Rattus norvegicus: one gene and its partner. The protein of the gene in region 1 interacts with the protein of each later gene in a biochemical or structural test. Links are inferred from orthologs where the notes say so. Each region holds a gene or a part of one and is shown in the gene's direction. Other genes may lie near its edges.

Evidence for each region.
Region 2: the proteins of Bcl2l1 (region 1) and Bik interact in a test that uses a peptide from one of them, tested with the Homo sapiens proteins (3 studies listed by BioGRID and IntAct, with this or other methods). The link is inferred for Rattus norvegicus from reciprocal best matches to the Homo sapiens genes BCL2L1 and BIK.

The regions. Positions count from the first base shown.
Region 1 is NC_086021.1:161,761,110-161,767,747, reverse strand, and holds the start of Bcl2l1 (bcl-2-like protein 1), read left to right. Parts: upstream 1-2,972; 5' UTR 2,973-3,038; exon of another isoform or gene 3,039-4,413; intron 4,414-4,479; exon of another isoform or gene 4,480-4,497; 5' UTR 4,498-4,609; coding exon 4,610-5,173; coding exon of another isoform or gene 5,174-5,464; exon of another isoform or gene 5,465-6,638. UniProt on the Homo sapiens protein: Potent inhibitor of cell death. Inhibits activation of caspases. Appears to regulate cell death by blocking the voltage-dependent anion channel (VDAC) by binding to it and preventing the release of the caspase activator, CYC1, from the mitochondrial membrane.
Region 2 is NC_086025.1:116,568,196-116,573,152, forward strand, and holds the end of Bik (bcl-2-interacting killer), read left to right. Parts: 5' UTR 1-5; coding exon 6-172; intron 173-1,652; coding exon 1,653-1,751; intron 1,752-2,121; coding exon 2,122-2,239; intron 2,240-2,654; coding exon 2,655-2,747; 3' UTR 2,748-3,122; downstream 3,123-4,957.

The DNA.
Region 1 (6,638 bases):
GTTCTCTTTTTCTTTAGATTTTATATGTATGAGTGTTTTGCCTGCACGCGTAGTGTACCACATGCATGCCTGTGTAGTGGGGAGGAGGTCACATCCCCTGGGACTGGAGTTACAGATGGTTGTGAGCCACTATGTGGATGTTGGGACCTGAATCTTGGTCCTCTGAAAGAGCAAAATAAGTGCTCTAAACCACTGAGCCATCTCTCCTACCCCACATAATACCCATTGATCAAATAAAATCAGTCACCAAAGACTGAATCACTGGTTATAATGGGTTAGACATTTGTACAAGTCCCTTTTAAAAAAAATACACTTACTTACCAGGTGGCCTGGGAGGCAGAGGCAGGCAGATTTCTATGAGTTCAAGGCCAGTGCTAGACAGAGAGACCCTGTCTCGAAAAACAAAATACCCCATTTATTTGTTAAGAAGAAAAGGTTATTAGTGGTCTGGTCTGGGGACGGAGCTGATTTAAAATTACCCTCTGACTATGAGCACGAAAGAGGGTGAGCACACATCCCTAGGCCGCAGTCAGGCCTTACGGTGGGGAGATTTGAGAGCACTAAGGATCACACCAGAGGCATCTCGGCAGTGCTGACGAGAGGCCATCATAGAAATACTAAGGAGGTAGCTTAAGGTAAATGGGTAAAAGAGCTGCTATGGAGGAGGGAGGGGAAGAGAAAGAGAATGAGAAAAAAACCAAGAGCAAAACAGCCAGAGAAAACAGAGAGAAAGAGACATCGCTTAACCTTTACAAAGCTAGAAGCTAAGGGGCCTGGCTATGGCTCAGGGAAGAAATACAACAGCATATTTATTTACAAATTCCTGTTAACAGCCTTACAATAGAGCAGCAGGAGGGGAAGGGAGTGACAGATCAGGTCCCATGATCTAACACGTGCATACGTGGGTGCGAGCATGCATGTATACACCTTATCAGGGGCTGGAGGGGGGGGGGACAATTTGGAGTTAGTTCTCTCCTTTCAGTATGTGGATTCCAAGATGGAAGTCCAGCGGTCAGGCTAATGGGCAAGCATCTTTATAGGATGGTGGACAGCTCCTATCCCTCATTTAACCTTCAGGCCATAGCAGTAAAGCCGGAGACCTGCCTGCTCTCTTTGCTAACAGGGGAACACGTGAGGCCAACAGAGGTGAAGTGGTGAAGGACACACACACACACACACACACACACACACACACACACACACACGCACGCCATTTGGATCCCGAGAGAGATCCCAAAGCAGTTCATGACTTTGGATTTAGACTAGCCTGGGTCCATTCCGATCCAGCACCTCTCTTTTTTGTCTCATAGCCACCCCTGCTTACACACACACAATCTTTCTTACTTCAGGTAATTTCTTAATTTCTCTTAGTCTCTGCCTCCTTCGGCTGGTTTAATTACACCCACCTGAGATGACTGCGGCTCAGAGAAGATAACGAGATTGAAACAATTCTGGTGTGTCCGCTCCCACACGGGCTCAGCTCTCCACCACACAGTCAGTCAAGGGGTTTCCTAAAAGGGTGGAATGAACTCTGTGGCCAACAGTGTATTCTGCCACGTCTTCGGAGGACGGTGAGTTGCTATCTCCAGACTGACAGGTGATGTGTGGAGGAGCAGTTTCTTCCTGATGCCATGTTGTTCCACAGTCAGGAATCAGCAGAGAAAAGAGAGCGCCTGTGGTACGTTGTGGACATCTGCACACCAGGAGGCTGAGATCCCAGTAGCTCTCAGTCCACAGAAGCTGAACTGCTGCTATGAGTTCAAGGTCAAGGGCAGCCCAAGTTAAACAGCTACATAACTAGACCCCGTATAAGAAGAATGAACTTGCCTCACCAGCTGAGGATGGGAGTTCCACTCCTGAACACGATTTACTCCTAAAAGTTGTCCTCAGACCTCCAGATAAACATGGTGGCCCATACACACCCACACTCACGTGCACATACCCCAAAATAAAATAAACTTTTGAAAAACTGAGTTACTGCTAGAGTTATCCGGTAGAAAGCCTGACTACCATGCACAAAGCTCTGGGTTTGATCCCCAGCAACACAAAAACTGTGTATAATAGCGAGACAGAAGAGGTGGCTCAGTTGTTAAAGGCTGGGCTCACAAACAAACATATGCTACATAGTTCGAGATGGTGTAAATAAATGTCTTTCTACTGCACTGGCCAGCCAGAGTCGGGGTTTGCATTTTTTTTTTTTTTTGGTTCTTTTTTTCGGAGCTGGGGACCGAACCCAGGGCCTTGCGCTTCCTAGGTAAGCGCTCTACCACTGAGCTAAATCCCCAGCCCCGGGGTTTGCATTTTTAAAAGGATCATTCACTCATTCACTCTAAAGCAAATCTCGTTTCACCATGATTATCACAATGTCAGGATTTTCTCCCCTTAGAGTTTACCTTGCGTATTTTCCTAGTTGGATATTGCCTCCACCCCTAAGGTATAAGTCTTCATAAAAACAGAGACCTTGGGGTTGGGGATTTAGCTCAGTGGTAGAGCGCTTGCCTAGCAAGCGCAAGGCCTGGGTTCGGTCCCCAGCTCCGAAAAAAGGAAAAGAAAAACAAAAAACAAAAACAGAGACCTTGCCTTGCCTCGTTCATAACCGTCTTCAACAATCCAAAGGCTTTCTAGTCTTCAGACTTTTCAAGTAATATCGATACACAGTCAATGAAAGGTCAATGCTGCTGTCTATTTGTAAAGTGAGGGGGGGAAATACACAAGTTGGGAAACCTGTCCGATGTCGGACACCCAGGAAAAAGCACTTTTTCTGTAGTATACAAACGGATAGATGGATGAAGGAACTAGATTGATGGAATGTGAACCATTAGCGTTCCATGCGCCTGCGCTTCCTCAAATCGCTCGCCAGGGGGCGCTGCTCTCCCACGTCTCAACGCCAGTCCCTCCTGGCGCGCACTCCTTTTGCGTCTCGGGCTCGCGCGCGCTGCCGCGGCACCGGAAGTGACTGCGCTTGCAAGTTCCCCCGGTCTCTTCAGGGGAAACTGAGGCCGGCTTCTCCGGGAGATTCGGCACGAGCAGTCAGCCAGGTAGGCCAACCCAAGTCCGCGGCGTACTTCCCAGCCGCAAAACGCCCTCGTATCTGGAAGCCACTGGGCCGATGAAGGGGGGATGTGGCCCCCCACGGCTCGCTGGGCTCTCAGGTGAGGGCGCCGCCTCCCCTGTGCCTGACAGGCGCTTCGCCCAATGGGAGCCTTGGCCGTCCCGCTTCCGTGCCGACTCGACCCGCGGATTGGCTAAGCTGGGGCGGGCCGCGGGGGCGAGACCCCTCCTTCCAGAGAGGTCTAGGGGGCGCCCCTGAGGGAGGGCGGTTGCCTAGCAACGGGGCGGTGGCTCGGCGGGTACCCGGCCTAGGGGAGCGCGAGCAGTAAGCGAGGCCTCAGCCCACCCACCCGGGGCTCCAACGCGTAGCGGCCTCCGGTCCTGGAGCCCTGCAGGGGGCTCCAGGAGGCCGCCTTGGGTCGGGTCTCAAGAAAACGAGGTCTCCGCTGTGGGAGCCTCAACCCTTCTTCCTGGCCAGTGGCGGGGCTCAGCGCCTCCCTCTCACCCCGTCTTTGTGCGGGGTGCCGGCGGCCATTGTGTCCGGGCGCGGAATGGAGGACCTGGCAGTCCCCCAGTGCTATGTCCAGAGCCTTTGGGGAATTCAAAGACAACTAGCGGTGTTTGTGGGGGGTCTCCAGCCTACTCCTCTTGGAAAGGCCCGGGAGTGGTCTTTCCGAAATCAGATCGCAGATCCGAGGCCGTCTCCCCCTCCCCGCGTCCCTGCGCGAAACCTTGAGATTCACTGAGAAGTCCCTTTAGGGTTTCGGAAGCCTCATCCAGGGCTGGTACTTAAATAGAAAGAAAGAAAGGAGGGGTGGGGGGAAATTACACTAAACCCATACCTCCGGGAGAGTTCTCCTGGCTCCCAGTAGGAGGCGAGAGCCAAGGGGCGTGCTAGAGCGAGGGGGTTGGGCTCCCGGGTGGCTGGAGGCTGCGGAGCAGAGAGGCCGCCCTCGATCTGGGCGATGGAGGAAGCAAGCGAGGGGGCAGGTTCCTAAGCTTCGCAATTCCTCTGGCCTGCCTACCAGGTCGCATGATCCCGGCCGGGACCGGGGTTTTTTGCTGAGTTACCGGCGACCCAGCCACCACCTCCTCCCGACCTATGATACAAAAGACCTTCCGGGGGCTGCACCTGCTCTCTGTCGCCGGAGATAGATTTGAATGTAGGTGGTGGTGGTGGGGATGTGCCAATGGGGGTGACTTTTGGAGAAAGGCATTTCGGAGAAAAGGGGGTGGGTGGTTGTAGTAAAAAGAGGCTGATGAAACAATTCAAAGCTTGCTGGTCCTTTCAATTTGACTTCATTGAAGTCTCTTAGAACCTGGACTCAGACCTTCATAAGAGCCACAAAGAAACCAATTCTGGTAACTGGGGGAGGAATGGGGATTTTGTAAGGTAAATGACATGCATATTAAAATTTTCTCCTGAAGCTCTTTCTCTCTCTTCAGAACCCTATCTTGGCTTTGGATCCTGGAAGAGAATCGCTAAACACAGAGCAGACCCAGTGAGTGAGCAGGTGTTTTGGACAATGGACTGGTTGAGCCCATCTCTATTATAAAAATGTCTCAGAGCAACCGGGAGCTGGTGGTTGACTTTCTCTCCTACAAGCTCTCCCAGAAAGGATACAGCTGGAGTCAGTTTAGCGATGTCGAAGAGAACAGGACTGAAGCCCCAGAAGAAACTGAACCAGAAAGGGAGACCCCCAGTGCCATCAATGGCAACCCATCCTGGCACCTGGCGGATAGCCCCGCGGTGAATGGAGCCACTGGCCACAGCAGCAGTTTGGATGCGCGGGAGGTAATCCCCATGGCAGCAGTGAAGCAAGCGCTGAGAGAGGCTGGCGATGAGTTTGAACTGCGGTACCGGAGAGCATTCAGTGATCTAACATCCCAGCTTCATATAACCCCAGGGACAGCATATCAGAGCTTTGAACAGGTAGTGAATGAACTCTTTCGGGATGGGGTAAACTGGGGTCGCATTGTGGCCTTCTTCTCCTTTGGCGGGGCACTGTGCGTGGAAAGCGTAGACAAGGAGATGCAGGTATTGGTGAGTCGGATTGCAAGTTGGATGGCCACCTACCTGAATGACCACCTAGAGCCTTGGATCCAGGAGAACGGCGGCTGGGTAAGAACCACGCCCCTTGTGTGTCCGCCCCTTGTGTGTCTCTCCTCTGTGGAGATCCCTAACTGCCCTTTTTGGTCTCCTGGCATGGTTGTTGAAGATATCGATTATTCAGGAGACATTCCTGGCTTCACTTTAATACCAGGGGTTAACTTTGGGAATATTGATGACCCTGTTTTTAAGGAACCTGTATTTTTCATTCTGGCTACCCTTGTGGCCCCGCAGTTTCATAGTTTTGTTCCAATTTCTCGGCAAAGAAAAACAGCCTGTGTGTTTACTTGGCTTAAAACCTAGGAGAGTAGCAAGTTCTCCCTGTGTTCTGCTCACTCTCACGTAATGGGTCACCTTGGCTGGGGGGAGGAATATAATACCTGGAGGAACTGCAGAGCTGATAACCCCAGGCTCCTGTGTGCTCGCATGCATGCTATTCAGACCATTTGGTCAGGCAGGAGCCCCACTGGCTTGACTGGCTGAATATTGTCTGATTTTAGAGAAGGTGGTCTGAGCCAATTGTGTTTGTGCTGTGCCCCTAAGTTCATTTTCACCATGGTTGGCTTGTTTGGGGAGCCCTTGCTGTGCCCCAGGACTTTGTACCTCACTGCCCTGGATCAGTTGGGGATCTCCAGCTGCTCTGCCCAGTGTTTTTCTGCTCAGGGCCCTGGGGCCTCTTTACTAAAGCACTGTTTGCTGCTGGCAGAGCACGAACCAGGTCTGTGAGGCTCCATAGGAAATTAAGATTTGGTGACAGACTGGATGTGGGTGTGAGTCCTGACCCTGTCACTTAACTGGCCATGTGACCTTGGTCAGGCTGACTTACCTTCTGGGGCCTCAGCTTCTCACAGACTGTTGTGACTCTTAAAGATAAAGCGAGCAGAAGCTGACACCAGTGAGTGCCTTTTCTTCTGCTCACCCTTGTGCTCACCAGGGTGAGATAGAGGTGAGAATGCCCTTACTGGTGACCACTGTGGTAGGCATTTACCGTTCGGAGGGAACTCCATTCTGGAATAGGGGAGAATGCGACTTCTGAGATGTATTCTGTCCCCTCAACATGTAGAGAATGGACAGACTGGAAAATAAGTCATCCATTGAAGGAAGTGAGGTGGAAGGGACCATGCACCATGGACTCCCGGAATGTCAAGAATTTGGTTGTTCCTAGGCTGGGTCTAGGGCGGGGCAAGAGACCTCCTGGGTTTGCCCTGAGACCCCATCCTGTCTCTAGTTTCCCAGTTCTTTGAAACTTCACCCCTCTTCCCTCCAGTAGCTCTTGTAAAGGCAAGGAGGTCACTTGTCAGTAGAGGTCAGATGACCAGCGTAGAGTTGGCTGAGGTAGAGGTGGGTTCCCTTGAGCTAAGGATTGCCAGACTTGAAAGCCAATCTGTAAATGAACTCCCTGGGGAGATAAATGATTAAATTGTTCCTGTTGGTTTGTGCTGTGACCTCTTCTATTCATTCTCTCTTGCTTTGATTC
Region 2 (4,957 bases), on another chromosome or scaffold:
AAGACATGTCAGAGGCGAGACTAATGGCCAGAGACATTATCAAGACTCTTCTACACGACCAGGTCCCCCAACCTGCAGTGGTCTCTGGGGCTCCCAGCATGAAGGAGCCTGTGGGGGTTGAGGACGTCAGTCCTGTGAGAGACTTGGATTTCATGAGGTGCCTGGAGAGCAGGTAGGGACTGACCAATGACCAATGGCCTCCACTGGACAAGGGTTGGAACAGCTCCTTCTATAGAGAGGAGTGGGGGAGAGGGGAGGAGGCAGGGTGGGAGAGAACAGGGCAGGGAGCTCCTGGAGATGGCTCCCCGCCCCCACAGAGCTCCAGTGTGCTTTCTGAGTGTTGGGACCAGCACAAGGCAGCCTGAACCTGGCCCATCTGGTTTCACTAGCGACATATCTCTCTGACCAGATGGGGAAATCAAGGTCCCTCTCTGCTCAGGGTCTGAGACCCACTGTTCACTTCCCAGCAGGAAGAGAGCAGCCATGCTGGCCAGGGCGAGCCCTTCTGTGCACAGGCTCTTTGTGTGTACCCTCAGCTTCTGGGTTCTCTGTCACTCTGGATGGAATTAGTGTCCCCTCACTTTCTGCTCCGTTCCTGAGTAAAGTGAAACCTGGGTCTCCCAGGGAGTAGGTGGGACCAAAACCTCGCAACCTGGTTGCCAGGCAACTTTCTGGGTTCCTCGAACCCTTGTGACCATCAGAATCAGGACTAGACCTGGGACACTGGGTGTGTGGAGCAGGTGGCCCTCGCCCCTCCGTAGGGGCTTTCCAGTGAGCTGCTGCGTCGCTGGTGTGGAATGTGTGGGCAAACCCCAGGAAGGGCTTAGCCAGGCTGGTTTCAGTGTGTGTATTCATCACACAACTGTCTCCTGTTTCAGTGGAGACTGACTGTTTTAAAAGACTTGTTTTATGTGCATGAGGGCTTGCCTGCACGTACGTCTGTGCACTCTGCTCATCCCTGGTGCCTGCAGTACTCAGAGGAGGAGGATGCATCCCCTGGAACTGGGCTTATAGGTGGTTGTAAACAAACATGTCCTCTGCTGGAGCAACACGTACCTTTAACTGCCGAGCCACCTCTCCAGCCCGAGATTGTCTTTAAATTGAAGTCATGTGCTACCATGCCTGGCTCACTTGGGAATTTGGTTTACCGCTCTCCATCTGGAGAAGGTGCAAACACAAGTGCTTTGAGTCTTGGAGCAGGATAGATTGAGGACCTGTAGGAAGTCAACTGAAGGGGGCTCCAAACACCCACACTTGCTCCCCTCCCCAGGGTTCTCTCAAGGAAAGTTCAGGTGTTTTTCTGGGGTAAGCTGTCCCTGACGTCCAGGCAGGGTCACAAGATACTCCCCAGTACTTTTGTGTCTGACTTCCACAAAGGGCAGACATGGGATACAGGCTGACATAGGTCCCAGGTTGGCCCCTATGCCCAATGTCTCAGTACTTTGTGGTTTATCCTACAGCAGCACATTTGAAATGGCTTTTACTCCAAAATGCACCCATGGATAGGGGGACACCAGGAAGGTTTGCTGCGGACTCCTCAGTATCCCCCTGCTGTCCCCCTCACTGGGTCCGGAGTCCCATAGGAACTGGCTAGGTGTGTGGTATGGCCTCCCCAGCATAACCACACTTAACTGCCGCATGCCTGCCTGCAGAAACCAGGTGGCCCTGAGGCTAGCCTGCATCGGCGATGAGATGGACCGGTGTCTTCGGAGCCCCCGTCTGGTCCAGCTGCCTGGGATTGCTATGCACAGGTAACCAGTTGCCCAGTGGAACCAGACAGGGCTGGGCCCCAAGGGAGCCCTGCAAACCTTGGAAGAAGAGTGTGTGAGTTCTCAGGCAAGCCTGAGACCTCACCCCTCACCCGGGTCCCCCAGTCCTCCCTCTGGCCTTAGCAGTAGATCAAGCTGGAGAGTCCGGAGAGATCCCAACTCACAAGGCAGTGTGGGTTTGGCCCAGAGGCTCAGGGGCCTTCAGAGTGGGAGATGCTCCTTGGAGCTGGCTCTGGGCAGAGAGCCAGAGGAGCACAGAGGCTCTCTGTAGGCCATACTGTGATGGGTCACACTTGTACACTTCCAGCGCCCACGGCTATAATACCCACCTTGTTCGTATCATGTCTTACAGACTTGCTGCCACCTACAGCCAGACGGGTGTCAGAGGTATTTTCAGAAGCTTGATTGGAAGCCTCACCAACCTCAGGGAAAATATCTGGTCCTGGAGAGTCTTCACTCCTGGCGCCTGGGTGAGAACCTTGAAGCCTCTAGTCCGAGTGTTATCCTTCCCACGGGGCAGCCAGCAGTGCCTTAGCCATGCTGTCTAGTTCCCCGCAGTCTCCACCCCTCTCTAGTTTCTTCCCCACCTCTTTGCACTTCTGCCCCATCTCAGCAGCCCTAGTGTGTGCAGCAACTGCTTGGCCAACTGAGGGAGGTTCGAGTGCACACTCACAGTGCCTTCTGGCCCCTCCTGCGGGAACCTCCTTCTAAAAGAGAATGCACTCAGTCATAAGTCCCCTGCTCCCCCGAGGTGAATGGCTAAATGACCACGTTCACACCGTGTCTCAGATTTCCCCAGCTGTGCATAGTTCTGAGTCCCAAGCGCTGTCTCCTCACCCCAGCTGGTCCCTGGGCCTCACTAACCTTCCCCTCTTGATCCCACAGGTGTCACCTGACCAGGACCCTGGGCAGCTGTTTCCCATGGTGCTGCTGGTCTTCTTGCTGCTGGGTGGGGCCTGGCATTTGCAGCTTCAGTGAGGTGCAGCTGGGGCAGGGCTGGCCCCTGTCCCCCAACCCCTAGAGGTGCCGGCACCCTAACCGTGGTGTTTTCTGACTGTCCCTTTTTTTTTTTTATATTTAACTCAGGATAGTGCTGAGATTTCATACAGGTTTTCTGGGTTTTTGTAAGGTAAATGAATTCACTATACCTCAGGAGCGTTACTGGCTAAATATCCCTGAGGCCTGGCTGGCCCTTCTCTCTTGACCCCTGCCACCTTCCTCTCTGCAGGCTGGTCCTGTGGCCACCAGTGGGGGGAGTGCCGGCCACACCCCTGTCTGTGAAGCCTTGAGGCACGGAATCTACTGGACTAGATTCCTTTGGGGTGGAGAGTTCAATAAAGGGTTGTTTCCAGGAGTTCAGTAGTGTTTCCAGCCAGCCTCCCCTTAGGCCCTCTGTGGGGCTGTTACATTGTGGATGTAGATGGGGGAGGGAATTTAAAGTGGCCTCTGCCCCCAGTCCTGTGCCCAAAAGGGCCATAAGAACTGGTGGGCGCCCAAAGCTCCCCTTCTCCCGAGTTTCTCTGTGTAGCCCTGGCTGTCCCGGAACTCACTCTGCAGACCAGGTTGGCCTTGAACTCAGAGATCTGCCTGCCTCTGCATGGTCATGCCTAGCTCCTCTGCACTCTCCTGTCCCCTTCTGCCTGTATCCTGATGGGGAAGTCTGTCACCTCCTGTGTGTGCAGGCGTAGCTATCATGAAGAGCTGTGGTGTTGGGGTGTGCTACACAAGACACACCAAAGGAGGAGGGCCAGGTCTCCCACTTCTAGGCCTCATACCTCCTCCAGGCCTGGCCCATTATCTTTCTAGGCCAACCAAGGCCTCCACCTGAACTTGGGTTTCTGTCTGCCCATTCCCATCAGACACCAAAACAGTGCCCCTCCCCACATGGCTGCCAATGGCTGTGACCACTTTCTCTGGCCTCCCAGATGCCCTCATTGTGTCCTTCAATTGTTCTGAACTTCCCAGTTCTGGGTGAGGTGCTTGTTCTGAGTTGCCCCACCCCCACTCCCGCTGTCTTGTGCTCCCCTCTGCCACCTCCACCTTACCTGGCAGCCCCAATGCCCTTCCCAGGAAGATGGGACCATGAAGGAGATGCCTTCCTGAGAAGAGCCAGTTTTTTTTTTTTTTTTTTTTTTTGGTTCTTTTTTTTTTTTTTCGGAGCTGGGGACCAAACCCAGGGCCTTGCGCTTCCTAGGCAAGCGCTCTACCACTGAGCTAAATCCCCAGCCCCGAGAAGAGCCAGTTTTGGACATGGAGCAACCTGGCATCAAGTCCAAGGGACCGGCTGGTGAGATCTCAGCCCGAAGGACAATGACCAGAGGTGGCTGATCCACATTGGCCATCAGAGCTGGCTCATTCCTTGGGACAGGAGCTAACTCTGCTCTGGCTCTGATCATACAGGGGGGAGGGGAGATGGTGGCAGCAGGCATGAGCTCTGGGGACGGGAGGAAGGGACCTTTCTGGTCTGGGCAAGGGAGGCAGATGTCACTTAGTGCCAATGGCCCAGCGCTTCCCCACAGACCATCATCAGCCCTGTGGGCCTCAGTGGGCCTCCTACTCACTTGGACACAGGCTCTAGGCCCTCTCTTCAGCAGCTGTGACCCTCAAGTTGGAGCCTCACTCCAGGCAGTAGGAACTGGAGGCACACCCAGTACTTGGTGCACTCCCTTCTCAGGGTGCAGGTCAGCCAGTTTCTCTGGGCTTTCCTCAGTTCCTAAGCCATGGCTTTCTCTGAACTGGCATCAGCCCACCCTCACACAGCTGCCCTGGGCCCCACAGGGTCTCCATGAAGTTGCTCAGAGAACAAAGGCCACCTGCTTCGGGTGCTATTCTTTCAGGACACAGAACTAAACACCGGAGCCCAAGGCCCGGCCACCCATAGCTTTTTCCAGGTTTGCAGTCTTCAGTGAGACCAGCCCCAGTTAACAGTTGGGATCTCTCCAGTACTGCTCCAGTACTCAAGAGTGGGGATGGAGACTTGTCACGTTTGTCACAACAGTGCAAACCGGCCTGACTGCAGTGGGCCTAGGGACCTGACTTGTCAGGTGGCTGACTGGGGCTCACTGGGATGGAGGTTCTGGGACAGCAACTTCCCTCAGTTGACAAGGCTGTGGGAGTGTCTGGGTCTTATCATGTGGCCACACTAGATGGGACCAATTACTCCCTGTGTGCAGTCACAGGATATTCTG